7 linked regions of the Coturnix japonica genome follow. The main gene of each other region encodes a partner of the protein of the gene in region 7 in a complex. Links are inferred from orthologs where the notes say so. Each region holds a gene or a part of one and is shown on either strand. Other genes may lie near its edges.

What was found.
Region 1: RNF113A (region 7) and BUD13 share a complex: the UniProt entries of both Homo sapiens proteins name them as parts of the minor spliceosome. The link is inferred for Coturnix japonica from reciprocal best matches to the Homo sapiens genes RNF113A and BUD13.
Region 2: RNF113A (region 7) and CWC15 share a complex: the UniProt entries of both Homo sapiens proteins name them as parts of the minor spliceosome. The link is inferred for Coturnix japonica from reciprocal best matches to the Homo sapiens genes RNF113A and CWC15.
Region 3: RNF113A (region 7) and SNRPD1 share a complex: the UniProt entries of both Homo sapiens proteins name them as parts of the minor spliceosome. The link is inferred for Coturnix japonica from reciprocal best matches to the Homo sapiens genes RNF113A and SNRPD1.
Region 4: RNF113A (region 7) and SNRPD3 share a complex: the UniProt entries of both Homo sapiens proteins name them as parts of the minor spliceosome. The link is inferred for Coturnix japonica from reciprocal best matches to the Homo sapiens genes RNF113A and SNRPD3.
Region 5: RNF113A (region 7) and SNIP1 share a complex: the UniProt entries of both Homo sapiens proteins name them as parts of the minor spliceosome. The link is inferred for Coturnix japonica from reciprocal best matches to the Homo sapiens genes RNF113A and SNIP1.
Region 6: RNF113A (region 7) and SNRPE share a complex: the UniProt entries of both Homo sapiens proteins name them as parts of the minor spliceosome. The link is inferred for Coturnix japonica from reciprocal best matches to the Homo sapiens genes RNF113A and SNRPE.

What each region holds. Positions count from the first base shown.
Region 1 is NC_029539.1:4,398,579-4,402,173, forward strand, and holds the end of BUD13 (BUD13 homolog), read right to left. Parts: intron 3,541-3,595; coding exon 3,447-3,540; intron 3,111-3,446; coding exon 3,005-3,110; intron 2,626-3,004; coding exon 2,487-2,625; intron 2,266-2,486; coding exon 2,081-2,265; intron 1,930-2,080; coding exon 1,848-1,929; intron 1,511-1,847; coding exon 1,417-1,510; 3' UTR 501-1,416; downstream 1-500. UniProt on the Homo sapiens protein: Involved in pre-mRNA splicing as component of the activated spliceosome. As a component of the minor spliceosome, involved in the splicing of U12-type introns in pre-mRNAs.
Region 2 is NC_029516.1:165,900,092-165,904,367, forward strand, and holds the start of CWC15 (spliceosome-associated protein CWC15 homolog), read left to right. Parts: upstream 1-1,476; 5' UTR 1,477-1,499; intron 1,500-1,533; exon of another isoform or gene 1,534-1,645; intron 1,646-2,840; 5' UTR 2,841-2,848; coding exon 2,849-2,979; intron 2,980-4,276. UniProt on the Homo sapiens protein: Involved in pre-mRNA splicing as component of the spliceosome. Component of the PRP19-CDC5L complex that forms an integral part of the spliceosome and is required for activating pre-mRNA splicing.
Region 3 is NC_029517.1:39,382,146-39,386,108, reverse strand, and holds the start of SNRPD1 (small nuclear ribonucleoprotein Sm D1), read left to right. Parts: upstream 1-1,163; 5' UTR 1,164-1,340; coding exon 1,341-1,354; intron 1,355-1,906; coding exon 1,907-1,983; intron 1,984-3,072; coding exon 3,073-3,264; intron 3,265-3,963. UniProt on the Homo sapiens protein: Plays a role in pre-mRNA splicing as a core component of the spliceosomal U1, U2, U4 and U5 small nuclear ribonucleoproteins (snRNPs), the building blocks of the spliceosome.
Region 4 is NC_029530.1:7,447,982-7,452,040, reverse strand, and holds the start of SNRPD3 (small nuclear ribonucleoprotein Sm D3), read left to right. Parts: upstream 1-1,259; 5' UTR 1,260-1,376; intron 1,377-1,654; 5' UTR 1,655-1,678; coding exon 1,679-1,804; intron 1,805-2,489; coding exon 2,490-2,679; intron 2,680-3,582; coding exon 3,583-3,644; 3' UTR 3,645-4,059. Other genes in the region: protein GUCD1, read right to left, coding at 1,044-1,254. UniProt on the Homo sapiens protein: Plays a role in pre-mRNA splicing as a core component of the spliceosomal U1, U2, U4 and U5 small nuclear ribonucleoproteins (snRNPs), the building blocks of the spliceosome.
Region 5 is NC_029538.1:3,338,498-3,342,617, forward strand, and holds the start of SNIP1 (smad nuclear-interacting protein 1), read left to right. Parts: upstream 1-1,320; 5' UTR 1,321-1,344; coding exon 1,345-1,496; intron 1,497-1,578; coding exon 1,579-1,675; intron 1,676-2,531; coding exon 2,532-3,115; intron 3,116-3,776; coding exon 3,777-4,041; 3' UTR 4,042-4,120. Other genes in the region: DNALI1 (axonemal dynein light intermediate polypeptide 1), read right to left, coding at 1-109, 1,110-1,190. UniProt on the Homo sapiens protein: Required for pre-mRNA splicing as component of the spliceosome. As a component of the minor spliceosome, involved in the splicing of U12-type introns in pre-mRNAs. Down-regulates NF-kappa-B signaling by competing with RELA for CREBBP/EP300 binding.
Region 6 is NC_029541.1:2,015,940-2,020,095, forward strand, and holds SNRPE (small nuclear ribonucleoprotein E), read left to right. Parts: upstream 1-1,366; 5' UTR 1,367-1,472; coding exon 1,473-1,526; intron 1,527-2,058; coding exon 2,059-2,085; intron 2,086-2,467; coding exon 2,468-2,530; intron 2,531-2,623; coding exon 2,624-2,702; intron 2,703-3,378; coding exon 3,379-3,434; 3' UTR 3,435-3,656; downstream 3,657-4,156. Other genes in the region: MTCH1 (mitochondrial carrier homolog 1), read right to left, coding at 1,069-1,266. UniProt on the Homo sapiens protein: Plays a role in pre-mRNA splicing as a core component of the spliceosomal U1, U2, U4 and U5 small nuclear ribonucleoproteins (snRNPs), the building blocks of the spliceosome.
Region 7 is NC_029542.1:2,229,085-2,233,238, reverse strand, and holds the start of RNF113A (E3 ubiquitin-protein ligase RNF113A), read right to left. Parts: upstream 2,801-4,154; 5' UTR 2,737-2,800; coding exon 2,637-2,736; intron 2,421-2,636; coding exon 2,344-2,420; intron 2,248-2,343; coding exon 2,143-2,247; intron 1,263-2,142; coding exon 1,155-1,262; intron 879-1,154; coding exon 769-878; intron 555-768; coding exon 448-554; intron 39-447; coding exon 1-38. UniProt on the Homo sapiens protein: Required for pre-mRNA splicing as component of the spliceosome. As a component of the minor spliceosome, involved in the splicing of U12-type introns in pre-mRNAs. E3 ubiquitin-protein ligase that catalyzes the transfer of ubiquitin onto target proteins.

The sequences.
Region 1 (3,595 bases), on a different chromosome or scaffold from region 7:
GCTTCACTTCATCTGGATGCTCATCAATAAACTGCCACCTGAAGCTCAGATAACAGACCAAACAAACAGCTTAAGACAATAAAGAAAGAGATCCATGCTCTCTAAACAAAAGGGTCCGGTGGAGCAGCTTGGGAGCTTCTTCTTGCAGCGGTGGCGTTCAGTTGTGAGGTACAGTGGTGACACTCATTGGTAGAGCATCTCAGGCTCACAACCTTCCGATGCTGTTGCTATGTAACCCTTCCATACAATGTCTGTTACCAACCCGTTGTTTTTAGTTAGAAATGCTTTCTTGCAATCAGGGATGGAGCGCAGCGCTCTGCTTGGCCTCCAGCTGCAAGCTGGACAAATCTAATCACAAGAGAGAGGTTATGCTTCGTGCTGAAGCGAGCCCCCAGGCAGCAGCGCTAAGAGCCATCAGCAAGGCTGTCCAGAGAGAAAGCTGTAGGGACTAATCCATGACCATTAGCTACTCTGAAGAAAATAATGGCCAAGGGAAACAGTTTAAATGGCCTCTGCGTGTTTATTGCCACAAGAAATTGACCCCCAAGGAGCTGCTGGAGCTTCTGAAGACTTTGCTGTCAAATATAACATGGCGTGTTGTTCATTCAGCCATTTCTAGTAGAGAACTAGAGTTATATGTACAGCAAGCAGCTTCTTGCCACATACTGACCCACCTGGCACAGCTCCCATAAGGGCTACAGGAAGCTCTGCTGTGCTAACTTCACTGCAAGCCAAAGACTCCAGGAACCAGAAGGGTTAAGAGTTACACAACATTGAACAAGCAGAAGCTCTCTGGGCTCATTAGCAAGGACATGGAGAACATGGGGCAGACATAACATGAGCCCACAGGTAAATCAGCTCACAGTATTAAGTTGTTTCAGAGCAAAAAACACCCTCTGGAAGAACTCAGCCATAGCTGAAACCACAACCGTGTGCTGCAATAGGCCAACACACCAGATAGGATTAACCCTCCATGACTTAAATCCCAGCATGCTTCCACCATGAAATAAACCTGAGATTTAGGACATCTGAAGACCTGTCAACTGCCTTCAGAGGACAAAGCATTTGGCATAGAACATTTCAACACAGTTTCTACAGTTTATTAGTAAAGAAATAAGTGGGTCAGACACCAGTGTCTGCAGCACCTCATGAAGGAACACCAGGGAGCAGAAGTGTTCCTCTGTGGGCAGCAGCCACTCCAGTTTTTGGCACTGGTCCTTTCTGGCTGGCAGGAAAATCCTTTTCCAGCAGCTCTCCTCTAAACACAGCCTTGCTTCCAAGAAGACAATCCACTGGGATACTGAATGCCAAGAACAGTGCTTGGTCCAGGCAGAGGAGCCGTTACTTTTGGCTCTGGCAGTGGTAGCAGGCAGATCTCAATTCAGTCGTGCTGTTTCACATGGTTATTTCTTCTATCTACATGTCTTCAATGCTCCACTTGTATGCCAGCTCCTGAACTGCCTTCTTATTGGCCATCCTGGCAAAGAACTGCTGCTCAAATCCGTTGGACCTACAAAATAACACCAACAAGACCATGGGCTACCGTGCACATCTACTAAAGCCACAAAGCTTTTAAATGACATCACATGTTTGCCACTACTTTTGCATCAACACCTCCAGCTGAGTTTCCACTCTGAGCTGTGGCAAACAGCAGGCAGTGCCACAACAGATCAGAACAGAACCTGGCTCCCTTTTGTCCCAGACAAGCATGTCCCTACCAGCCATTCATAACCATGAGAAGTGTTAAGGTTGAATAAGTTGCATCTCACTCACTGTAAGCTCTCTGAGGCAAAAGCTCATTTAGTTTTACTACCATTCAATGACATCAGTGTATCAGGAATACCTACCTGTCCACCCCATCCCAGCGATACCCAGGCCATATATTAAATCTGTTGAGAGGAGGTGCTGGTCCACTGTACCTAGGTTTCTCTAGAGACAAAAACAGCAATACAGACATTGGTTACTACAATGCAATCTTCAGGACTCAGCTGCCACAGCAACCTCACACTGTTCACTGAACAGCAGCTGCATTTCTATGCTCCTTGGGCATTAAAACCTGCACCAGCACAGCTTTCCATACCTTTCTTCTCCTTGTTCTCTTTGGCTTTTCTTTTTTTGATGAACTCAGCCATGGGGTCTCCTTCTCTCTCTTGTTCTCTCAGCATTCGATCCAGATCTTCATCGTCAATGTAACGGGCCAATGGTTTCTGCATTTCTTTTATTGCATCTTCCACATTCTGCTGCTGCTGCCTTTCCTGTGCTAATCTAAAAACACATACAAAGTACCACCTCAAAACTAAGGAATAATTTACTGCCATCTGCTCAAATTGTAGTATTGATCAGAATCTACTGTGTGTAGCATCCCTGAGAAGCACCCAGCAACAGACAGGGTAATCCCACACAAAATAACCTGGTCCCAGGCACAAAACTCATTGCCAACCCCCAGTCTGCAACCTGTAAAGTGACATGTCACCAAGACACCTTACCCCTTTCCCCATCTGGCATATTGCTCATCATGCAACAACTTTGCTTCATCTTTCTGCTTCTGCTCAAGACGTTCCTGCACAAGGTCCCTCTTGCGGCCTGACTTGTCGCGGAAGATGGTTTCCGTGTGTCGGGATTCCTCTAGGGATAACAGATATCCTGAGTCACTCACGTGGGAATATTTCAGTTTCCAAACCACTCCATAGCTCATGCAATGAGCTATAGGTGTAACAGCCTGCTCCTTCAGATCAGGAATAGCAGATGGGGCAGATGAGACACAAAAGCCTCACAATTGTCTCATTGGCACCTCTTTGAAATCACCACTCATAAATTTCTATTTTAGAGACCCAGTGGCTTTTACCTGTGTATATTCATCAGCATGCCTGGATGCCAGCCAACACAGACACTCTCCATCAACACCCTTACTACCAGCATTTTAAGACATGCCCTGATACAGCATTAACAGGCAGCCAAAAGCAGACTAAAAGCTGATGTCTGTGCACTGGTTTCAGACTTTTACCTTCCAAGTGCTTGCTACTTCTCTCCTGCTTCCTGAGCTCCTGCTGCTCTTTCCGCAGCACGTCAGCTGACACCAAACCAGCTTTGACCCCAGACATCATCTTGGCCTGCAAATCAAACAAGAATCACATTTACTGCTGGCTGAGAGCTGCCCAGTGACTCACAGGTATGATAAGGGGAAGTTACACGAGAGGCAGCTCTGTTACAAAGCCACTTTGCTGCCATCTTTGCAAACAGCTTCCACAGACTTCCAGAAATACAGAGTGCTCATGCAGAGCTCATCTTCCATCTACCTCACACGTGGTCTTATGGCAAACTGACAGTGTGGCACAGCTGCATTTACAAGCTATATATCTGCTCTACCATCTGTAAGCCATCACACTGTTAATGATTGCTATCAGAGGAAGCAATCTTCAGCACAGACGGAAAGACAAACCCCTTACCTTCTTGGGAGATCCCTTCTCATCTGGGTAGCGATGATCTGAGAGATTGGAGGGACTCCTTGAACCACGCTGACCCTTTCCAGAAGGCAGAGCCCTTTGAGGATGAGAGAAATTGGAGCATGAAGACTTGCTCTAAACACATTTAAGAG
Region 2 (4,276 bases), on a different chromosome or scaffold from region 7:
TGGCTAATAATTCCCACAGTGGGGCATTTTTGCCTAACACTGGATGCAGATACTGAGTGACATATAGCCCAGCAGCTCATCTGCATGTAAATATCACATGGCTAAAATTAATTGCTCTGTCAGAGCTCAAAGAAACCATTTGACTCTGCAGAAACAATAATTCATCCTCAGGGACGAGCTTGTGATAGAGAGCGGCAGAACTGTGTGCTCCTCAGTGCCACCCATGCCCCCAGCACCCTCCTCCCTCCCTTGCTGAGTGCCTTTCAGCTGACATCATGTTGTGGGTGGGGAACTGCTCCAGCACAGCCCCACGGGCAGCAGCTCCCCCAGCCCTCCTGCCCCACTGTAGGCTCCTCTCCACAGGCTGCACCCTGGCCTGGGGCTGCTCCGCCTCCAGGACTCTTCCACTGCTGCACAGTGGGCTCCTCCATGTCTGCATACGGAGATCACAGAATCACAGAATGACCCGGGTTGGAAGGGACCTCAAGGATCATGTAGTTCCAACCCCCTGCCTGGCAGGGCCACCAAACATACACCTTTACTAGATCAGGTTGCCCAGGGCCCTGTCCAACCTGGTCTTGAACACCTCCAAGGACGGGGCATCCACAACCTCCCTGGGCAGCCTGTTCCAGGGCCTAACCACTCTCCTGAGTGAAGAACTTCCCCCTGGTATGATAGAGTGCGAGTGCGCGTTGAGGATGCCTAAAATATCTTTCCCTCTTTTTAATCTCTAAAACATGTCCCCCTTAGTCCTGCTATTATCAGCCCTTTCGAAGAGTTTACTCCCGTCCTGGGAGTAAGTTCCCTTCAGGTATTGAAAGGCTGCAATGAGGTCACCCCACAACCTTCTCTTCTCCAGGCTGAACAAGCCCAACTCCCTCAGCCTGTCCTCATAGGGGAGGTGCTCCAGTCCCCTGATCATCTTCGTTTCCCTCCTCTCGACCCTTTCCAAAATCTCCATGTCTTTTTTGTACTGAGGGCTCCACACCTGGACACAGTATGAGAGATGCGAGATGTGCCTGTGGGCTGCAGGGGGATGGCTCGTTCCCCTGTGAGCCTCTCCTGGGTGCTTAGGAAGGGCCTAGTTCAGGTTCTGTGCTTATTTTTGCAGGGAATTCTTGCTGACTCGTGGATTTTTCTCTGTTGAGAATAGTCACAAGGTCTCTTCCTCATTGCAAAGCCATTGGCAGCCATCAGGAAGCAAAGGCAGACAGTGGAGCAGGAGCTGTGACTGAGCACAAACAGCCAAAGAACCAGCGGGGTGGGAGGCAGCCGGGAGGAGCTGGGATGACTCTGTAAGCACACAGAAAAGCAGCAGCACAAGGGTTCTATGGCAGCACAGCAGGGTGTGTGTACTGCTCACAGTCATACACGACTTTAAAGCACAGCTCACACGCAGTGCTGCTGTACCTCAGGGCGGACAGCAGGTGCCACTCAGGCACCAACAGCGTCTATTTCCACTTCATTATCGAACATGGCGGACTCAATTCCGCACTGAGGTAACAAGTTTTTCCGCCTTCCATCTCTATGGTAGTTCCTCCTTCCGCCGCTCCGCTCTGTGGTGGCTGCGCGGCGCCTTGTGGGTAGAGGGCGGGATGATGGCGGTGGCGTAGGGCCCGGCTGCTCAGCGGGAGGAGACCCCGAGGTCAGAGAAGGGGGATTGAAGGGATTAAATCGGGGCTTCTGAATGTGGAGGGTCGGCCCTGGGGTGGTGGGCAGCCTGGGGGGACACCGGGAGGGAGGTTGAGGCCGTGGGGCGGCCTGGACGGGCCTGGGAGAGCGCCGATGGAGGCGGCTCAGCCGAGCCGGCGTTGTGCGGCACTGACGGGGCTGCTCCAATGCTGCGCTGATGGAACCTGATCGGAGCAAACCCCTGGTTGCCCCCAGCAGCTCAGGCTGCACAGGGCTCATCCAACCTGGCCTTGAGCAGGGATGGGGCACACAGCTCTATGGGCAGCTGTGCCAGGGCCTCACCACCTTTTGTATGTCTCTTATTTAAGTCCTTAGGCTGTGCTTATGGATGTGTGTAGTTTCGTTTAACAGACTGAAGATGGCACTGATGGGTCATCCAGGGTGGTTGGTTGGTTTGATTCTTTTGTTTTGTTTGTTTCTTGGTGGACTGCCCTAAACTTTTGGCTCTATGGTTTGGGTCTGCGTGGCCTCCAGCTGCTTTGTGCAGTGCTGAGCACTTCTTGGCATCAGTTATATGGGAGCCATAGTGGTGAGGCTGGTCTCTTTTCAGTAGTGTGTTGGGACAGGACTAGGGGTAATGGGATGAAAGTACAGCATAGGAAGTTCTGCACGAATGTGCACAAGAACTTCTTTACAGTGAGGGTGACGGAGCACTGGAACAGGCTGCCCAGGGAGGTGGTGGAGTCTCCTTCTCTGGAGATATTCAGGACCTGCCTGGACGCCTACCTGTGCGACGTGGTGTAGGGAGCCTGCTTTGGCAGGGGGGTTGGACTCGATGATCTCTAGAGGTCCCTTCCAACCCCCACAGTTCTGTGATTTCATTATTAGATCCTGTGTTTTTTTCCAGAGGGGAAAGAATTACTCTTCTACCAAGATATAAGGATAGGAGACTGGCTCCTGGCATTTTATCCACTTCTATAAACATGACCTCACATTCTTGATTGAGTCTCTATCATCTTTCAGGCATGTTGGAAAAGAAGCTGTCAGTAAAAGAAGCTCTTAAGCTTTAAGGCTCATGCACCAGTTGATAATTTGTATTGTGTAGTGGGATTTGCTGTTGCTGCAGCAGTTCCAAGAATGACGTAGCTTCTGGTGAATGGCTTTCACTTTAAGTTATAGTAATGACTGTTTTTTGCCCTTGACTCTAGTAACTAAAATGACGACAGCAGCGAGGCCAACGTTTGAGCCTGCAAGAGGAGGGAGAGGAAAAGGTGAAGGAGACTTAAGTCAGCTATCCAAGCAGTATTCCAGCAGAGACCTTCCCTCTCATACTAAAATCAAATACAGGTAAGTATCGTTATTGTCTGTCTTATAGCAAAGCAGCCTGGAGCTGTTTTGTTGTTTTCTTTCTTTGTGATGTGACCAACACTCTGAATTTCTTTCACGTTAGATATTTGTTTGCTTGACATTAAGCAGACACAGAAGCAGGCTTAGGAGATTGAGTGGGTTGCAACTGATTTGGAAGGTTTAGTTTTAGTGGTGTCAATAACTGCTTGTGGAAGGGAATCAGGAGAAGGTAATCTTTACAGATTAAGCATTTCAGGCAATGGAGTGAAAAGAAAAGCATTGGGAACATACAGAGACAGCTGAGCTAGAAAGGTGGTGTGACTTACAAGATGGGATAGGAGGTATGAAGTTGAGTATGTCATATATTGGCAAAGAACCTGGGGAAGAGCACTAAGAAGAGGCAGGGCAATGTGTAACAGCACTCAGGCATTAGTAAGTATTGGAAGAGCTGATGTTAAACACTAGAAGGGTTCTAGAAGAGCCTGTTGCTTTAACTGGTGTGAAAGATAATGGGATTTTATATGAATACTATCCTGTGTTTGGAATGCTTAATAATTTATGTTCTTTTAAGATAGCATGAAATCTGGAGTCAACATGCCACAGGATTTAACTGAGTTGTGTCAGCCTGAAAATAGTCTTTTTTTCTAGCTTAAACTGTTGCTTGGGTTTTGCTTTCTTAGTGCAGATATTTACCCTTTCACTGCTTCCCTTCCACCCATTTGAATAACTTTGAAGGTAACATGGATACGGGAGGTGGGATGTTCAGAGATCACCAAAAGCAACAGCACAAAATGTGCTATTAAGGGAAAAGTGGCTGGTGGTCTGTCTCTTTAAACAGAGCGGGAGTGTGGAGCACCAGTCTGTTGTTCTGAAATGAGTGTGTGGGAAGAAATACATACAGGAATATACGATGTGTGTGTGGTAACGAATCCCTTTGAGTGAGTGTGTATGTGTGTGTGAAGGGGCATTAAGCATCTTAAGTTCATTCTCCCAAATATCAAATACAAAGTTGTCTTTGCTAATTTGCCAAGGGCTGCATAATTGCAAGAAAGATTTGGTATTTCAGTCCCACTCTCCCGTGCCTCTTTGACAAAAGGCCTGGGGGGGATTTTTGCAGCCATGTCAGGGATTCTGAATTCAAGTTTTTAATTGTAAAAGCAAATGAAATGCTTCAGCATAAAGACAGCTTGTGCACGCAGTGTATTTCTAATGACTGGAGCCTGGGTTTCTTTCAGACACTCTTATTTCCAAACCTGAGTTCACAGCAAGGTGAAAGGAATTGCTGCATGTTGTTATT
Region 3 (3,963 bases), on a different chromosome or scaffold from region 7:
GAGGAGGTGTCACCCTAATGCCATGTTGCACTTGGGAGCAGCTTCTTGCTTTTCATGCATGATGTAACACACTTTAAAAGGAAAGGTTTTTTTCTTTAAAAAGCTACAAAATAACATGTGCTGGTTAACAATAAATGTGTGTCTTTAAATTTAGTGCTTCCAAGCTGTATAAAAAACAAGTAATCCTACTTGAGGACCAATTTTAAACTATTTTGTCACTTATTTTATATGGTTTGTTCAAAACCAGCCGTGAAACTTGCTTAAGGCGCTGCACATTGTTTAATATTTCCTGTAAGTACAGCTGTATATTCAGATTGCAGTTATAAAATGTAAATGGGGGGAGAAACGTGTAGAATCTTAGAGCTAGCACAGTTGTTGTTACTGAGGTTAGAACACAAAGCACTGATACTCCAGTGTTTCACTGTGTTGTGACTGAAACTGTGTACAGACTTTTGCAGTTATCTGTTCATTTTAACCTTGAATGTTGCTGGAGGCTTCTGGTTCTATGTGAGCATAACCTGCACATAAACATCAGTACTCACCATGCCTCTGTCTGCTTCTCGATGCTGTGCTGGGAATACCAATTGGTGGTTAACTGGAAACTCCTCTCTGACTTCATTTACCAGTGTCACCTCTGTCATAGACTCAAAGTGCAGGAACACCATAAACTCAGTATGTAATGGTTCTTACGGCTCTCGGGCAGCTGCCCTCTCAAACTTGGTTCTTTGCGGTTTGTTTAAAGCAAAACATAAAATAACAGATTTCATGTGGAAAAGAAGAGCTGTGGTGTGTGTGTAGGGATGGAGGGAGAGACGTGGGTTAACGTGGGTTCTCAGAGCTGGAGGGCAGCCAGATCTCAGTGCTTTACAAAAAGAGTCTGTATTGCAGAAATCACAACAGTGTACTCATCAATGATAATAAAAGGTCTGATTTTTCTAGATCCTGGCCGCTGCGTTTGTGTGCCTGAGCTCCTTATCAACTGCTTAACGTAGAAGCATCGCTGGTGCGGACTAGACTATTTGCACACAGCTACAGTGCTTAGATACGTATAATCCCGAGCCCACCATTCCAAAATGGCGGCAGCGCATCCCCTCAGTGCCCGCCCGCCCTCAGCCCCGCGCAGTCGCGCTGCGTCCCGCCCCTTCCGCCGCGCCGCTTCCGCCCATTGATCGCAGCCGGCGGCGGCCGCTCAATCTCTCGGGGCTCGGTGCGCTCGTTGGAGGCCGCGTTCCTGTCCGCCCGCGCTCGCGGCGCTTCCGCCGAGGCCTTTTCGTGCCCCCAGGGGCGGCCGCCGCTGCCCGCCGAAAGCCCCGCGGCCGCCGCGCCGTCCCGCCGGCGCAATGAAGCTCGTCAGGTGAGCGGATGGAGGCGGATCGCGGAGAGAGGCGGCGGGGAGCCCGCGCAGGCCGCCTCCCCCTCCCCACACACAGGCCGCCCGGCCTGTCGGGGCCTCGTTGCGGCCTGGGCTCTGCGGCGAGCGGCTGGGCCTGCGAGCGGGGCTGCCCGGGAAACCACCCCGGGGGGTTGGGGGCGGAGCCGGGTGGAAGCGCCTTCACGCGGTGCCGAGATCCAAAATGGCTGCTGCTTAGCTGGTGGTCAGAGAGCAGCCCGAGTTGGACGGGATGCACGAGGGATCCCGAACCCAACTCACGCAGGGCGCTCAAAACACAAACCCTGTGACTGGAAGCGTTGTCCCGACGCTGCTTGAGCCCGGTGCCACCGTTTCCAGCCCCTGGCAATTGGGCGCCGTTTGGGGCTTTGGCTTTGCCCCATGGAGCACCTTCAGTGCAGTTCATGGCAGCTGAGAACGTTTGCGTTAGGATGTACATCGATCGGTTCCCCGTATCAGCATGTGGTTGGACATAAGGCTTAGTGTGACAGCAAACACTCTGTGCTTAATTCCTAGGTTTCTGATGAAGCTGAGTCACGAGACTGTGACCATCGAGCTGAAGAACGGGACGCAGGTGCATGGCACCATCACAGGTACGGTGTGCCAGCAGCCTCCCAGGCTGATCTGAGCTGTGTGGGGTAAAGGAAACCGGTGCTGGCGTGGCTGGTGTAAGTGTGGTAATCTGAAATTACTGCAGCAGCATGCAGGCATTGTGAGACAGTGTCACTGCTGTATCAAAGGGCAGTGGTCATACAGCCTATCCACTTATGTTTCAGAACATTTTGGGGCTGGAACTTGAAGGTCCCTTCCAACTTAAACCGTTCTGTGATCTCATTGGTAAAGCTGCAGTACACTGTAGTTGCATCAAGAAGTCACCACTGAGTCACTGGCAGAGAGATATTTTTCTAACGGTAGCACAGATAAATGGTAAATGCTGAACATGGTTACAATCTACTGAGATGTAAGGGTTAAAAGCACGTTATTTTGCAGCCAGATCCGTCCATTTTGTTAGAAGCTGGCTGTGGTGGCAGCACTCTGTGCCTCCTACCCTTGTACTCTCACAGCCTTCGCTGTTGAGCAAAGTCTCTCTCATGCTGTGCTAAGAACCTGTAAAACCCTGCAGTGCCATCCATGGTTCTAAAATGACAGTCATCCCTGTACATGGGTGTACGAAGCCTGTTGCAGCCACGGTGCCACCTGCAGTTGGTGCTTCTGATGCTGATGTTAGATGTGTTTGATCAGAAGATCATGGTTGTACTTAGAAGGAAACGCAGTGTTATTTTTCTACTCAAAAGTTCGTTTTCTTTCTTTTGAAAGGAGTAAAAAAGACAAATATTATGCTTTTGTAGTAAGTGGCAGTTTATTTGTTGTCCGGAGGAATCATTTTAAGTGTTTAGTGTTGCTATGACTTAAGACCTAGGAACAGATCCCTACAGCTGGTGGTAAGTGGCTCTTCCTTTGGAAATATATCAGTGTTGAGGGCAGCAGCTGATAAATCAGCATAATTAATAGAGGAAAAAAAGATGTAGTTTCTTCTTCCACTTAAGAGGCTTAATTAACAAATGGCACAGATCCAGAAGCGTGTGTTAGCAAAGTCTTGAAGCACGTGCACAGTTAATAATAGCCAAAGAGGAGTCATCCTGTGTGTTCCCACCCCTGAAATCAGCCTTGTGTTATTTCAGGAGTGGATGTCAGTATGAATACTCATCTCAAGGCTGTGAAAATGACGCTGAAGAACAGGGAGCCTGTACAGCTGGAGACATTGAGCATTCGGGGGAATAACATCCGATACTTCATCCTACCAGACAGTTTGCCCCTGGACACCTTGCTAGTAGATGTTGAACCAAAAGTCAAGTCCAAGAAAAGAGAAGCAGGTGAGTGCATGATTTCCCAGTCTCTGCTTGTTTTACTTTGTGTTTTCGTGCTCTCGCTCTGAAGGCATGTGATTGGAAATCTTAATTTCTGTATTGCTTTCATCTCTGAGGGTTTGTACCGAACTCTGCCTTGTGTACCTTCATTGTGTCTGTAGTCTCCTTTCATGAGAAGTTATTTACACAGCTTCTCATGCATCTGTTTTAAAGTGTAAACGTCTTTAAGTGTGAGTAAATCTTAACCTATGGCATTCTCAGAGGCAGCACCAATGGGATGCACAGTTTCTCTTTTCAAAATGTCTGCTCTGTTTCCCTGGTTTCTGTGTGTAACTTTGTATTTAGCCTAATAAGAAAATATAGAGCAGCCTCAGGAGCGGTGCTGGACTGAAATCTCACTTGGCAGTGGATACAAACAATCTGCTGGAGAACCGAATTGAAGGGGCTTCAGAATGCAGAGGGAGCTGAGGCTGTGTTCCTGTGGATAAAGCCCTTAAAGCCTAACAGAATAGGGAATGCTTCTGGTTTTGTTCTGCGCCGTTAACAATTAATATCCAGTAAACTCCACAAAGTTTGTGTCTTCAGGCAGTAAAAGTTTTGCCCAGCAGTGTTAATCAGTGTGTCTTTCCAGAAATAAGTTAAAGGTAATCGTGCTCTAAAGCAACTGCTTGCCATTTCTCCTGTAATTTATGCTTAATTATTTGG
Region 4 (4,059 bases), on a different chromosome or scaffold from region 7:
CTTCACCATTCCAATTCAGCTTGTTCTCAGCTCTGTATTCTGTGCCAACAAAAAGTCATAGGTCAAATGGGTAAAAAACAGACACAACCAGGATCTCTAGGCAGTGATTTCTTACAAGCCCTATGGATTTCAGCCTCTTCTACTGCCATGTCTTTTTGTGAGTAATTTTTTAAGGTAAGACAGCTCACAAATGACACCATCTGTAAAAGGGCCAAAGAAGAGAGACAAAACCCAATCTATATCAAGAAAATCTGCAATATCAGTAATTCATCCTTTGTTATTTCTTTACAGGCAGTAGTAGTGGTTTCAGTTTCAGCAAAGCCCAGATTGCTTGATGGACTGAAGTGCTTCCGCTTGGCATTGTAACTTCAAAGACAATCCAAGTGAGTTAATCATAAAAGGCTTTTCTTAATGACTTTACCTTCGATCTGGTACAGACCCTTGGAAACCTTTGCTAACACAGAGTCAGCTCTGCTTTCAGATGGGGATAAAAAGCATTCAGCATCCTGGGGGCTGCTGCAGTTTCAACACAGCTTTATATGTAAAACTTTATGGACAATGTCTTGCAGTTTTAAACTGTTTTCTCACTGAGTTACGGCTTATTGCAGCAACAACGCGGTGCACTTTCTCAATCACGTCACTGGGTTTAATCATAACTTTGAAAGCTGGCACACACCCATTGGTGTACTCAGTGTTTGTTAGCAATGTTGATTATACTTTAGAAGGACAAACAGCCCCTCAAATCCCGCTTGAAGGAAGTAATGTAAGCATTGGCGGTGTGTTATGAGCTGTGTTATGAGCAGGTCCATTCTCTGTTACCATCCAGGGCCTTCTAACACCACAACTCACTGTGGATGTCCCTGTTCTCCATACACTATGACTTCAAAGGTAACAACCAGGCCCAGCGCTGCCCGCTTCTCATCCCCACCCCCAACAGAGCTGTCACGGCCCGACCCGCGGCTGTAAACAAGGCGGAGCACTCTCAGCTCCACCAAGTGCTTGACAGGCCGCCCCCGATCCGAGGCCCCGGAGCTGTCACTGACCTGCCTGCGGAGGGGGCTCCCCCGGCTCCCGGGGGCTCCTCATGACGGCGGCCGCCCGCTCACTACCCGCCCCGCCGGACTTAGGGCCGCGCCATGCCCTGCTGCGGCGACGGCTCCTCCCGGCTGCGGAGGGGGCGGACCCCGAAGCGGCTGCTCGGAGCTGGGAGGGAGGGAGCTGCCTTCGGGAGGAACAAAAGTGCAGCGGAACCATCGTGATAAGGCAGCGAGACCCTGAGGGACAGGAGCAGTAGCAGGATCCGCTCCTGTGCCCTTCCGATTCCGGGGCTCTGTGCACGGCGGGAAGGCGGCGGCCATTAGGGTGGTTGGTGGGAGGTGAGTGTCGGTGGGGGTTTGTTATAGGGTCGGTTTGTTATGGGGTGGGTCTGTTGTGGGGGTTTGTTATGTGCCTGCAGCTTCGTAGGGCGGCAGATGTGGGCTGAGAGGGTGGGCTGCCCTCAGCCTTGGGCCGGGCCTTGGGATAGGCGTGTATTGCCAAAGCACTGAGGCCTTTGTTCAATGGAGCAAATCGGCTCCTGTAGGCAAAGCCGAACTGCAGAACGACTGGGAGTTTGTTTCCTTTATTCACTTCTATGTTGTGCTCTCTGTCCCAGGAGTAGAGCCGCAGTGTTGCAGCCATGTCCATCGGGGTGCCCATTAAAGTCCTGCACGAGGCAGAGGGCCACATTGTGACCTGCGAGACCAACACTGGGGAGGTGTATCGTGGGAAGCTCATTGAGGCTGAGGACAACATGAATTGCCAGGTAAAAGAAGTTTATCTCATCTGTTTGGAAGTGGTTGCACTCAGCAGACTGACAGCGGGATTTAAAGACCTTTTACTTTTAGTCTTAGGATAAATAAAGCCCTTTTACTCTGTGCACTTACAGTAATGAAGTGAATTCCAGATTACTGAGCACACCAAATTGCTCAGAATTGGGATTTCCTGTTCCTGGTTCCTCTGTGAGCACCTTCTCTTCAGCAGTTCTTTGTTTATTGCCTGTTGATAATAAATAAACTCTAATTTATGAGCTTAGAGCTGTGCTTAATGCAGAGGACTTTAAGGCATTGCAATAGCCTTAATTTTGATAACTTCATGCAAGTTGTAGTTGAAATAAAAATGTCCTTAATAGCTGGGACCAGTAAAACTTTATTTAAACTATCTGAATAAGAAAACAAAACTAATAAAACTAATTAAGCAAGTGGGGAGGAGGGGAAAATAGTGAGTTTGCTTAAATTTTAGCAAGCTTTAAGACTGTGTTTAAATGGTTATAGATGCCTTATATAACAATAACAGTTGAAGGCTGTATGCTTGATAGGGCTTTGAGTTTATTACTTGAATCTTGGCTATATATATATTCCATGAGCAGGAGTAGTGGGAGTACAAAACTATGTTTAAGGCCACTTAAAACAAACTGTGTTTGAGACCACTGTCTGATCTTTACTTTCCAGATGTCCAACATAACAGTGACATACAGGGATGGGCGAGTGGCGCAGCTTGAGCAGGTGTACAGAGGCAGCAAGATACGGTTTCTCATTTTACCAGATATGCTGAAGAACGCTCCTATGCTAAAGAGCATGAAGAATAAGAACCAGGGCTCTGGAGCTGGCCGAGGAAAAGCAGCTATTCTCAAAGCTCAGGGTGGGTACAGTGTGTTTGTGGTCTGGTGTTCCCTCTTTACCTTCCTGTTTTGCTGTACAGAAACTGAGATGTTTTCATCCCTAACACTAAGCAAAGATGAGCTGTAAGAAGCTGAATGAGTGACAGCAGTCAAAACTCAGACTGATGCACAATACTGATACTGCAGATAGTTCAGGAACAGTAAGTGGCCTTGCTAGAGTTAGGTAAAACTTCACCTTTGGTTTTCTGTAAATGTGGTTGCTGCCTGTTTGGATTACCCAAAGTATGATGATCTAAGTATTCTTAAGCTTAAAAAATATATATTTATATATATATTTATATATATATATATATATATTTATACATACATATATATATACACACACACACACATATACGTACACTTGGTTGATACTTTAAGTTTTTTAAATGAGTAACTGTTAGCCATTCTGCAGTTCATCCTCTTTAATACCTTTTTTGTGTGAACAGTCTCGTTATAACAAGATCAAGAAATAATCATGGGCTCTGAAGCCCTTGGTTAACTCTACCAAATGCAGTAAGGATGTGTGGGGGAGTAACATCTGACAAAATATAGCGAGTTCTGTCACGCTGTATGAAGAGCAGGAGGTCTTAAATCTCTCTGGCTACAGATTCACACAATTTAAAGTAGGAACAATGGTGTGTTACTATTTCATTGCTCTTAATGCATACTCTGTTATGAATAGCAAAGCTGTGTAGTTGTTAGTTACAGTTGTTTTCACAGAAAACTTCTATTTACTTTTATCACTTCCCAGGCCTCATACTGTAGCTTAACTTCTGTGCTTCTAAGGAAGAGACTGAGAGTTATTGATGTTTGGTTTGTCACTTGTTGAGATAAATGTGTTGCATCAAATTCATGTCATCCCTGATGTTTTCTTTCTTCAGTGGCTGCAAGAGGAAGAGGCCGTGGTATGGGTCGTGGCAACATCTTCCAGAAGCGAAGATAATTTTGGTCTTGACCAAAATGCTTTTTTTTTATTATTATTATTAAAGGGGCTCTTAACTTGTCTACATATATGTTGGTAACTTCTGTTTAATAAATGTTTCTGACAAAACCCTGTCTGCTGTTATATGACAGAGCTCCTCTTAGGCACAATAGAGTTCTGGCTTCTTTCTGTAGCTGGCAAATACGTTGGAGGTGGATTTCAAAGTGCGTTGTCTAGAAAACAGTGGACATGGATTTGATTTCTTTGTACTTTTGTGTGATGCATTGAGTTTCAAAGATCATCTTGCTTCCTTTTTGTTCAATACTGCTGTAATTTACCCTCTAAAGAGTTAGAAGTTATTCTTCATGAAGAATTTTTAATGTTGTTTTAAGGTTGTGTTATCACCTGCATTTACAGAGCAAACAGTCAAACTGAG
Region 5 (4,120 bases), on a different chromosome or scaffold from region 7:
CCTGAGGTTCCTTCGTGGAGGCGGCGGAGGCGGCAGCAGTGCGAGGTCGGGACGGAGGGACAGGGCCTGATGGCGGGGAGGCCTGTGGGGTTCCCTTCAACGGTGAGGCCTGAAGGGAGAAAGCGGTGTGAGCAGGATGGGTGAGGTGTGAGGGCTCCCCCCGTCCCATTCAGAATCACAGAAACACAGAATTATCAAGGTTGGAAAAGACTTCACTAGGAGAGTGGTGAGGCCCTGGAACAGGCTGCCCAGGGAGGTTGTGGATGCCCCGTCCTTGGAGGTGTACAAGGCCAGGTTGGACGGGGCCATGGGCAACCTGATCTATGGGGTCTCTATGGGGATCTATGGGGTCTCTATGGGGGTCTATGGGGTCTCTATGAGGATCTATGGGGTCTCTATGGGGATCTATGGGGATCTATGGGGGATCTATGGGGTCTCTATGGGGTCTCCTGGGCAACCTGATCTAGTAAATGTGTATGTTTGGTGGCCCTGCTTGGCAGGGGGGTTGGAACTACATGATCCTTGAGGTCCCTTCCAACCCGGGTCATTCTGTGACCTAGAAGATCATCTAGTCCAACCATTCCCAATACTTCCCAGCTAAATCATATTCATCAACACAACATCCAGATGTTTCTTGAACACTCCCATGGTCAGTGACTCCACCACCTCTTTGGGCAGTGCATTATAATGCCTGACTACCCTTCCTGAGAAGCAATACTTCCTAATATCCAGCGTGACTCTCCCCTGACACAGCTTAAAACCATTCCCTCTACTTCTATCATGGATTAGAGGCTCACTACAACCTCCCTTCTAACTTCTAACTAAGGGAGTTATAGAGGGCTATAAGGTCTCCCCTGAGCCTCTTCTTCAGGCTGAACAACCCCATCTCCCTCAGCTTCTTCTTATAAGTCCCCATTATGCTCCAGACCCCTCACCAGCTTCATAACCCTTTTCTGAATGTATTCTCAATGTCTTTCTTGCAGTGAGGTGCCCAAAACTGAACACAGGGGGACAATTACCTCCCTGTTGCTGCTAGTAACACTGGTTTTGATACAATATAGGATTCCTTTGGCCTTCATGGGCCATAATATCGGTTCATATTCACTCACCTCTGGTGATCGCTTCTCAGTACGGCGACTCACCAGCATGGGCGGGTTATAACGCAGCAGCGAATCGGGCGGTGGGATCATGGCGGCTCCTCGGTCGCTATGGTTATAAACGCCGCTCCGTTGTTTGTTCTAAAGGCGCATGAGCGTTAGGTAAAGATGTAGTTCCGGGTGGTTGAGAGAGAGGTAACACGGATGTGAAAACGTAATTCCGGTTGTGGGGGGAGTCGGTAGCAAGATGGAGGCTGAGAGTGAGAGGAGGAGGAGGGAGAGAAGGAGGGGGGAGATGGCGGTGAAGGCCGAGAAGCGCAGCCCACGGAGCTGCGGGTCCCGTTCGGCTTATGGGAGCCAATCCCCCCCCATTGAGGAGCGACGGGGCAGGAGCAGCAGGTAGGAGGCCTCATAGGGCCTTATTACGGCCCTGTATCGTAACCCTGAGGTTCTGTGCATTTCTTGTGTACTTGATTTAAAGGTCGCCTAAAAGGAAGAGTAAATCCGGCCGGAGGAGCAAATCACCGCGGGGGAGGAGGAGCAGGAGTCCGCACCATGGAGGTGTGAGGGTAAAGCAGGTAAATGGCGTTGGGAGAGGCCAGGCCCCACAGATCCCCATAGAGACCCCACAGATCCCCACAGAGATCCCATAGACACCCCATAGAGCCCCATAGAGACCCACTGAACCCCATACAGACCCCATGCAGACCCCATAGAGCCCCACAGACAACCCATAGATCCCCAAAGACACCCCATAGATCATGTTGCCCATGGCCCCGTCCAACCTGGCCTTGAACACCTCCAAGGACGGGGCATCCACAACCTCCCTGTGCAGCCTGTTTCAGGGCCTAACCACTCTCCTAGTGAAGAACTTCCCCCTAACATCCAACCCAAATCTTCCCTCTTTTAACTTAAAACCATTTCCCCGTGTCCTGCTATTGTCAGCCCTTTCCAAGAGTTTACTCCCCTCCTGGGAGTAAGTTCCCTTCAGGTATTGAAAGGCTGCAATGAGGTCACCCCGCAACCTTCTCTTCTCTAGGCTGAACAAACCCAACTCCCTCAGCCTGTCCTCATAGGGGAGGTGCTCCAGCCCCCTGATCCCTCTAGAATAACTCTTAAGGAAGAGAGAGTCTTACAGTGTAACATCTCCTTGCTCTCTGCTTCGTGTTTTCCTGGAAAGAACTGAGTGTTTGTACCTTTTAGTGAGCCCAGCCCCTGTTATTCCTGTAAGAAAATGAGTATTTGTGCCTTTAAGTGAGCCCAGCCTGCAGGCTGACCCTGAAGGCTGATGTTATGATGCATTGCTCTCTGTCAGCCTTGCATTGTTGGGCCCAAGTTGTGGGAATTCACTTTGGAAGGAAATAAATAAATCTAGATATACACGTACCATGTTACAGTCTGTGTTTTTCATGTGTTTTCTGTCTTCTTCCTCAGGAACGAGACGATCATCCTCACAGAGGAAATGAAGAGAGAAAGCAGAGACACACGTCAGAGCAAGAACACAGACGAGATAGAAGCGGTGACAGAGACAGGCACAGAGATCACTCAGACAGGAGGAAAAAGGAGGAAAGACCTGGAGGTCGAGGCCATGAGAGAGAAAGAGATGTTCAGAACATCCGTGAGCAACAAGCAGAGAGGGAGTTCTATAACGAAAGAAGACGAGAGCATCGACAGAACAACGAGGGGAGCGGTGCTGAGCAGAATCCAGAACACAAACAATCTGATAACAAACCAAAAGATAAAGCTGTAAACAAAGAAAAACCAAGCTTTGAACTGTCTGGTGCCCTTCTGGAGGATACCAACACTTTCCGAGGCGTTGTGATTAAATACAGTGAGCCCCCAGAAGCTCGGATTCCAAAGAAACGATGGCGTCTCTATCCATTTAAAAACGATGAGTTCCTGCCTGTCATGTACATTCATAGGCAGAGTGCTTATCTCCTGGGCAGGCACCGCAGGATAGCAGATATCCCCATTGATCATCCCTCCTGCTCAAAGCAACACGCTGTGTTCCAATACCGGTCAGTATCGCTCTGTATCCCTCTGGTAGGTGGGGATTATTTGGTCGCTTGCGTGCAAAGGGAATCAAAGAACGTATTGGATGTGCACAGATTAGAAAATGCATGTTTGCTCAATGGTTTTAGATAGGTGGAATTTAGGTATGGATGTAACATATATGTAATTCCTTTTTGTTTAACCATAAGCAGCCTCGTGACTCTTAACATATATATAATTCCTTTTGGTTTAACCATATCTAGACTTTTAGTAAGAAACACAACACAACAGGATGAAATACAGAACTGCCTGTATATCTGAATTGGAGTTATTAGCAGGTGGGATTGGCAATAAAGAACGTTTAAAGGAGGGTTTTTCATTTGTTCCTTCCCAACAAAGGCTGCCGATCTCCTTTATAAACAGCAGGGTTGTGTGCTTCAGGAGGCAGAGCTGCTCTCTTAAGGAACAACCATCTGTTCTGCTTCAGGATTTACTATGTTATATGATCATAACTTTAAGGGGTGAAGCAGTCTGTCAGAATCTTGAGTATTTCCGTGCCCTGTCTAATTATTCTCATTGTACTTGCTCAGATCTTTGAAGTATGGTTAAGTATTTACAACAGTGGGGCTGATGTGTTGAAAAATCCATGTGTTATCATTGACTTGATGGGTTGTTTTTGTTTTCTAGGCTTGTGGAGCACACACGCGCTGATGGCACAGTTGGCCGCAGGGTAAAGCCGTATATCATTGATCTTGGTTCTGGCAATGGTACTTTTCTAAACAACCAGAGGATTGAGCCTCAACGTTACTACGAACTGAAAGAAAAGGATGTATTGAAGTTTGGCTTCAGCAGCAGGGAGTACGTCCTTCTCCATGAATCATCTGATAAATCAGAGGCCAACGCAAAGGACGATGATGAGGAAGAGGAGAAGGAGGAAGAGTCCGATAGTTAACAGACATGAAGGCAATTGGGGATGGGGGAGCAGGGGAGAGGAATCTTTTACAATAAAACATGCATTGGGATGGAGATGT
Region 6 (4,156 bases), on a different chromosome or scaffold from region 7:
TATAGGGTTCCCTATTACAGAGGGGTTCTGAGGATGAAGAGGGATGAAGACCCACATTCAATCCTTTGTTATATAGGAATCCCCATTGTGTGGGTATCTTCATCCATCCCATTTTATGGGGTCCCCTCACCTGTCACATAAACAAGCCTCCACTGCACACGTTGGTCTTTATCTTTGGTATATATGTTTATATATGAGTTCCCATTCCCTGTTATACAGCTGTCCCTGATGCAGCAATATCCCAATTCCCACAGTGCTCCCCATTCCATCCTCACAGCTACAGGTGGGATCCATACACACAGATAACGGTGACTGAGTGCCACCCCATCACACAGCACGACCCTCCTCACCCCATTACCCCCCTCAACACATTATAAGGAGGGAACCCCCATTGCCACATATGGGGGATTCCCTTTACACAGGGTCCCCATAGCCCCCTATGGGGTTCCCCATCATTACACAGGCCGTCACCCCCATATTAACCCCCTCAACACATTATAAGGAGCTCCCATTGCCACATATGGGGGGTTCCCTTTACACAGGGTCCCCATAGCCCCCTATGGGGCTCCCCATCATTACACAGGCCATCACTCCCCCATTACCCCCCTCAACACATTATAAGGAGCTCCCATTGCCACATATTGGGGGGTTCCCTTTACACAGGGTCCGCCATAGCTCCCTATGGGCGTTCCACCATCATTACACAGCCTCACCCCCCATATTAACCCCCTCAACACATTATAAGGAGCTCCCATTGCCACATATGGGGGGTTCCCTTTGCACAGGGTCCCCATAGTTCCCTATGGGGTTCCCCATCATTACACAGGCCGTCACCCCCCATTACCCCCCTCAACACATTATAAGGAGGGAACCCCCATTGCCACATATGGGGGGTTCCCTTTGCACAGGGTCCCCATAGTTCCCTATGGGGTTCCCCATCATTACACAGGCCGTCACCCCATAGAGACGCCCCACGACCCCCCCTCACACCTCGGCCTACACCTCAGGCCTCCCCCCTGCCCCCACACGGGGGTCTCATCCCCCCCACACCCCCTTTAGGCCCCGGACCTGGACGAGCAGCTTGACGTAGAGCAGGGGGTGGCTGACGGCGGCGAGCCCAGCGCCCAGAGCCACGAACAGCCCCTCGGTACCGTCGGTTCGGCCCGGTCCGACCCCAGGCCCAGACCCGCCGCCAGGGGGCGCCAGCGCCACCGAGGGCAGCGGAGCTTCGCCCGCCATGGCCCCGCCGCCGCCACCACTGCGCATGCGCCGCCTCTTTGCGTATTGGTGGGCGGGATCTTAATGCGAGACAGCACTGGTGGGATCTGCGAGCAGTAGAGACGCGGTCCTCCCGCTTTCCTAGAGCGGCAAGTCTTCCAGCGTCCCTTGCGCGTTCCCGCCTTGCTCAGCGGCTTCCGGTGTTCTCTGCGACTTCCGGCGGAGCTTGTGGTGGCGGCGGGCAGGGAGTAGCCATGGCGTATCGAGGGCAGGGCCAGAAGGTGCAGAAGGTGATGGTGCAGCCCATCGTATCCTTGTCCGGAGGGGCAGGGGACGGGCCTGCGGGGCCTATGGAGCCTATGGGGCCTATGGGGCCTATGGGGCCTATGGGGCCTGTGGGGCCTATGGGGCCTATGGGGCCTGTGGGGTCTATGGGGCCTATGGGGTGTGTGGCCCTATGGGGGAATCTATGGGGCCTATGGGGTCTGTGGGGCCTTTGAGGCCTATGGGGCCTGCGGGGTCTCTGGGGCCGAGTGGGACCTTTGGGACCTATGGAGCCTGTGGGGCCTGTGGGGCCTGTGGGGCCTGTGGAGCCTATGGGGTCTATGGGGCCTGTGGGGCCTATGGGGTCTCTGGGGCCTGCAGGGCCTATGGAGCCTATGGGGTTTCTGGGGCCTGTGGGGTCTCTGGGGCCGAGTGGGACCTATGTAGCCTGTGGGGTCTATGGGGCCTATGGAGCCTATGGCGTCTCTGGGGCCGATGGCGAGTGGAGGGTAGGAGCGGCCCTGCAGGGCCTTGTGTCTCTCTGGAGTTGTTCCCGTCCTTAACGCTGCTCTACAGAACCTCATCTTCCGCTACCTGCAGAACGTGAGTACTGGGGCCGGGGCAGGGCTGGGTTCGCCTTTGGGTTTGTAACTTCTTGGCTGCTTTTGGAGCCCATCGGCTTCAAACGAAGAACTGGTGCTGTTTGGGAGCATAAGAGCTGGCTCAGAGATGAGCGTTCTCCCTTTGCATTAACACCTTTGTATGTTGATTGTGCCCCTGTGTGTGTAACACACACTCAATAACCCACACCTACAAGGTTCTGTGTTGGGAGTTGCTCTTTGGGGTGTTTCAGAGCTGCAGTGGCTGTTGGTTGCAAAGATTTCTCACCACATTACTAGCAAGGCTTTCTTAAATGCACAGAAGCAAAGACCAGCATTGCTTGAAGCATTTCTTTTCCAGTTTATTCACCCTGATTGTTTTGCAGAGGTCCAGGATCCAGGTGTGGCTTTATGAGCAGGTGAACATGCGGATAGAAGGCTGCATCATTGTGAGTACCAACATGTCCATGTGTTACCATTGGCTTTCCCACGTTCATGAGTCTGTGTGCTACCAACTGAGTGTTTTTGCCACTGATTTTCAGGGCTTCGATGAATATATGAACCTGGTGCTGGATGATGCAGAGGAGATTCACTCCAAAACAAAATCAAGGAAGCAGCTGGGTATGTCAACGTGTTATAGCATGAAAGGTGGTTGGGTGAGCCTTGCTGGTAGCAACACTTAAAGGTGGAAAGCACATGCCAGGTGTTGGTTTGGGAGAGCATTGGGCAGGTGCTGGCTCAGTCTTTGTTCCTGATGTTTGTTAAAGGTGATGATTTTGCTGAATGTAAAGGAGAATCTCCCTGTGCCTGAGACCAGTTGTTATCTTTTAAATGCTGTCTTTGTACAACTGAGGTGTCTGGAGGAGTCTGGTCCAAACTCCTTTGGGCTGTTTCTAAACTTGGTAGCCCTGAGCAATTCTCGTACCTGCTGGGTCAACTCTTGGCCAAAGCAGGAGCCACCTGACTGGTGGTATTTACTATTTACCGCTGCTGGAGAAGATAAAGCTGTCTGTGATGAGGGGATGCGTTGATTCGGATTGAGTTTATAGCAGGGACAGTGTTCTGCTGGGGCTGAGATGGTGTCTGAGAGTTGGGAGTGGATTATGAGTATGGACCCTGCCCTGCTATGCTTTCCATATGGGGCTGCCAGCAGGGATAGGACTCATTGCAACCCTCCCCCTCTATAATAGGGGCATCTTCTTGCAAGCATCTCCTGTTGTGGGATAATATGTGAAAACATGAGGTATTCTTGGATTCTGGGATCTCTCTAATCCCCCATTTCCTTTCTGTGTTGCAGGTCGGATCATGTTAAAAGGAGACAATATCACTCTTCTACAAAGTGTTTCTAACTAGAAATCGCTGTTCTTAGGGCAGTGATTGCAGTTCAGAATGGTTTGGAGTGAATGAAGAAGGTGCAGTGGGAGATCTACCCCTGCTGGTAGATAGAAAGTTACATGTAACTGGCATTGCATGCTGAGCTCAAAGTCCCCTCCTTTTGTAGGAGTGATTTTTTTTGTAGTCTGAAACAATAAGGGATGTATTTCCCAAATAAACATTTTTCACGTTGTCTGTAAACGGAAATCTGCATGGTTTTATTCTCAGCTTTCTATGCTTGGAGAAGGCAGAGAAATGTACATCAAGTGATTTGCTGTTGGTCCGATAAGTTCCTGATAGCTCTGTGCTTTTTGGGTAGTTACAACATGAGACAGGACAGGCTCTGGTGTCACTGTCAGGCTTGAGCATGCATGGCTCTAATTAAGTTTGTTAGAGGTTCTACGTGCAATTACCACCCTTTGTTGTCAAAACAGCTGGTTCCTTGGGTGCTTTCTGGTGGATCAGTGGGTTGGTGATGGATTTGAGGCTGTGATACAGTGATCCGACATCACAAACTATATTAATAGCTGTACTTTGGTAAAATATCATCATTAGATAGGGCAGCTGGTTGGGATTAAATCTATAATTTCTTCTTTGGGCAGCATCTCTGCATTAAATCCTAGTGCTGGGATGTCAGATGTGGCTGGATTTTATCACTATTATCCATGTAAGGATCTGTCCTATTTAAGTTTCCATAAGTG
Region 7 (4,154 bases):
TTTGTAGTCTGAGCGGTCGTGGAGGAATTTGCAGCTGTCTGGAAAGCACAAAAGAGGGATGAACAATCTACCCCCATTGCCCAGCTGTTCAAAGGACACCTCATCCAGGGGCAGCCTGAGATTTGCTCAGTACAAGGTGAAACCCAATTACTTCTGTACCCACCCATGCTACAGGGCAGGGCCAAGAGAGATGAGGCCAAGAGAGGGCCTCATCCTGCCCTCTCAGGATCAACAGGCCACAAGCATCACGTTCTGGATGCCACAGCAAGAGCTCCAGCATTCACCCACATAGGAAAAGGAAAAGGAGATCCCACCACCTACATAACCTCAGGTGAGGAAATACTAACTCTGCAAACAGGTGCCCATGAATTACTAACTGTGCAATTTCATGCCACAAAACTTGGGCTCACCATCTGGATTGGATCCCTGCAGGCAAGACCCACTCACCTCCAAAGCCGCAGAACCCTGTTTCCTTGTAGTCCTTACAGATGTCTGGCTGGTAATCCCACCGCACCGTGGCCCTCAAGTGCTCTGGAGCACGGATGGGTCCTTTTCTGAAAGGGTGGGAGAAGGCTCAGTCCAGCTGTGTCACTGCAATGGAGAAAACCCCTGCGGGCCCGGCCAGAACCAGACACCAAACTCATTAGATAGGAACAAGCTCCAAAAACAGCATCATTTCAGCCCAGAAAAGTGCCCCTGGGGACAATGTCTGAAATTCTCTGTGGTTCTATGATCCACCCCCCCCATCCCAGGCTCGTCCCAACCTACCTGACCATTCCTGAAGAGGCATTTCCCATTGACGTGTCTTTGGGCTTCACATATTTCTGGTAATTGTTAATACCACGGTAAATTTTATCATCTTCTTTTCCTCTCAGTTCCTAGAAGAGAAAAAAAAAAAGGCAATTAGGGGTCAGAAGATCTTCATGTCACAAGCGAGCTTTTATCTCTCCCATACCAACCTCCCCTCCTGGCCATACCTTCCTTAATACCAAGTAGTCAATAACACCAGCAAGTCCCCCCATTTACATAGACAACACTTCCAACCTCTCAAATATGCAGGCAAGAAAAGACTCAAGGTCTTGGCATGCAAAAGGAGATGAGTAAGCACACACACTCCTGCATAGCATGAACTCTTAGAAGTGAGGCTGACCAACCTCTTGTATTTTCTGGCTGCGTTCGAAGATGGCCTGGGCATCTTTATCCTTCTCTGTGTCCAGTTCATACACTGCTGTGGCCCCCATGTCTTCTGGGCCAACAGGTTTCTGAAAAGCAAGAACAATATGTGATAACAGTAAAAAGAAAGGCTGCATGAGACAGAAACCCCTCGGCTACCTGGAGGGCCAGTCACTGAACAAGTGCTGGGCATGGCCTGCTTCACCCTCCAGCAGTTTCTAACTTCTATTAGCATCTTCTCTTAGCATCCAGCCTAGTACTTGTGCAAGACAGGATGTTAATTACTGACTGCTCCCAGGTTTTAGTTTGCAGAGTCAGGACACAGAAATCCCCACTTTACTCCTTCAAGCTTCATCTTGTCTTAGCTGGAAACTGATCTCAGGTCTCTCATGTTCAGTGCTTCAGCCATGAGACCACCCAGCCCACAGGCAGGATGTTATATCTGAACTTTTAACCCAGCTGTGGGCAGCCTGTGCTCTGTTTTAATTCAGTGATCTAGTCTTGGTTCCTTGTGAATACAGTGAACAGACAAATGCTCTGAGGTTCTGTCAGCTCTTCATTTGCACAGAAACCAAATAATTACAACCAGCCTCAAATTAAAAACAAACCCATCTTACACACCAAAAGCTTCTGGAACCCCAAAGGCTCCACCTCCTCCTAAGAACGTGCTGCCCTGCCCTTCAAGTATTAGGGCCACAATGAGGTCTCCCCGGAGCCTTCTCTTCTCCAAGCTAAACAAGCCCAGTTCCCTCAACCTTTCCTCCCAGCAGAGCTGCTCTGAGCTCCTTGTTGAACAATGCAGAATATCAGGAGAATAAACCCAGCTTGTGTGTTAGGAGGGGAGGGACAGGGAAACACAGCTACAGATCAAAACTGAGAAGAGCTGATGGCACATTTACAGAAGCAGAGTATGGGATATGAGTATGGGATTAACCCCACCCCAGAAGCTCATCTGCGCTCAGTCCTTACCGCCGACCTTGTTGATTTGTACGTGACTCCGATCTCCTTCGACGGATCATCATCATCGCTGCTGCTCAGGGCGTATGAGGGCCGCTCCTTTGTGCACCTCCTGGTCTGAAGGGCGGACAGACAGACAGACAGACAGACAGCGGGTGTGAAGGCTGGATGTGCCCCACACAACAACAGCACAGCGCCCTGTGTGCACCTCACCTTCTGGATCATGGGGTTGGGGGCGTCCCTCCGTCGCTCCTTCCTCACCACGGTGCTGCCCTCATCGCCGCTGCTCCCTGCGGGGTTTAATGGGGTTTAATGGGGTTTAATGGGGTTTAATGGGGTTTAATGGGCCTGACCGCGGGGCTCCGGGGATGGAGGCAGCGCCCCTCAATCACACAGCTCAATAACCGGGCCCCACTGAGGGGCTGTACGACCCACGGCCTTCCTCCGCCTCCCTCGTGCACCACAACAGGCCGCATCGGGATATACCACCCCCGTCAGCCCCTCACCCTGCTCCTGGTCGCTGCTGGGCCGCTTCCGCCGCCCCCTCCCCGCCGCCAGGCCCCGCTTCTTGAACACGAAGCCGCACACTGAGCCTCCCTCCGCCATCTTGAGCCGCCGCCTCAAGACAGAGCGGCACTAGATGGGCGCAGAGCCGCACAGCGCCCCCTGCTGGACGGGAGGACTCGGGCCGCATAGCGCCACCTGCAGGCGTGGAGGGTGAATTGCGAGTCGCCATAGCAACCCCAACAGAACACCAATAGAACCCGAATAGAACCCCAAAAGAACCCGAATAGAACCCGAATAGAACCCCAGCAGAACCCCAGCAGAACCTCAACAGAACCTCAACAGAACACCAGCAGAACCCCAGCAGAACCCCAGCTGAACCTCAACAGAACCCCTATAGAACCCCAACAGAACCCCAACAGAACCCTAATAGAACCCCAACAGAACCCTATAGAACCCCAGCAGAACCCCAACAGAACCCAATAGAACCCAACAGAACCCAATAGAACCCCTACAGAACCCAATAGAACCCCAGCAGAATCCCAACAGAATCCCTACAGAACCCCAACAGAACCCCAGCAGAACCCCAATAGAACCCCAGCAGAACCTCAACAGTACCCTAATAGAACCCCAACAAAACCCCAGCAGAACCCCTACAGAACCCCATCCACCATCGCGGTTCCGCTCGCTGGGTGGTACCCGCACCCCGAGCGCTGCTTCGCGACCCCGAGCGCAGCATCGCACCCACGGTGGGCGGCAGAATGCGGGGTGGGGGTATGGGGGGGGTATGGGGGGNGGGGGTATGGGGGGGGTATGGGGGGGTTGGGGAGGGGGGTCGGTGGGATGGGGCCGGCGATGCGGTTTTGGGGTGGGGGCAGCGGGGGCCGCCGGGTGAGGGAGAGGCGGCCGCACACAAAGGAGCGGCGCTCGGATCCGCACCGCGCAAGGAACCAATCGCCGCCACGGCCGCGCGATAAAAGGGGCTGCGGGGGGAGCGCGCACGGAGCGAGGAAGGGACGGAGCGAACGACGGAGATACGGACGGACAGAGCAACGGACAGCACGGGGAGGGCTCAGCCCTTGTGCTGCTCGGCGGCGGACCCGGGGGTATGGTGGGTTTGGGTTTGTCGGGAACAATGGGGGAGGGGAACAAAGCGGGGTGGGAGGGCTCGGAGATGATGGGGAGAAATGGGGGCTGCAGGTGGGGAGCCCCGATAGCGGTGCTGCCATATGGGGCTGCGCAGCAGGTGGGGGACCCCCCCCCCCAAAATGTCTGTGTGATCCTCCAGGGGGGAACTTCTGCTCCGGGAGGCGGCTCGGTCGAGGGACTTTAGGGTGGGGGAGCACTCGGGGGATGCTGTCTGAGCTCTGGATGCCTTTTGGGGTTGGGATTCTGTTGGGAAATGGAGAGGGGTCCGCACCCGGTGCTGAGCGGGGAGGGGAGTGAATAGGGTCTGGGCGTGCGGTGTTTAGAGGGGGGTGGGTAGGAACATTTTGGGGTTCCCCAGCTGTGCTGAGCTC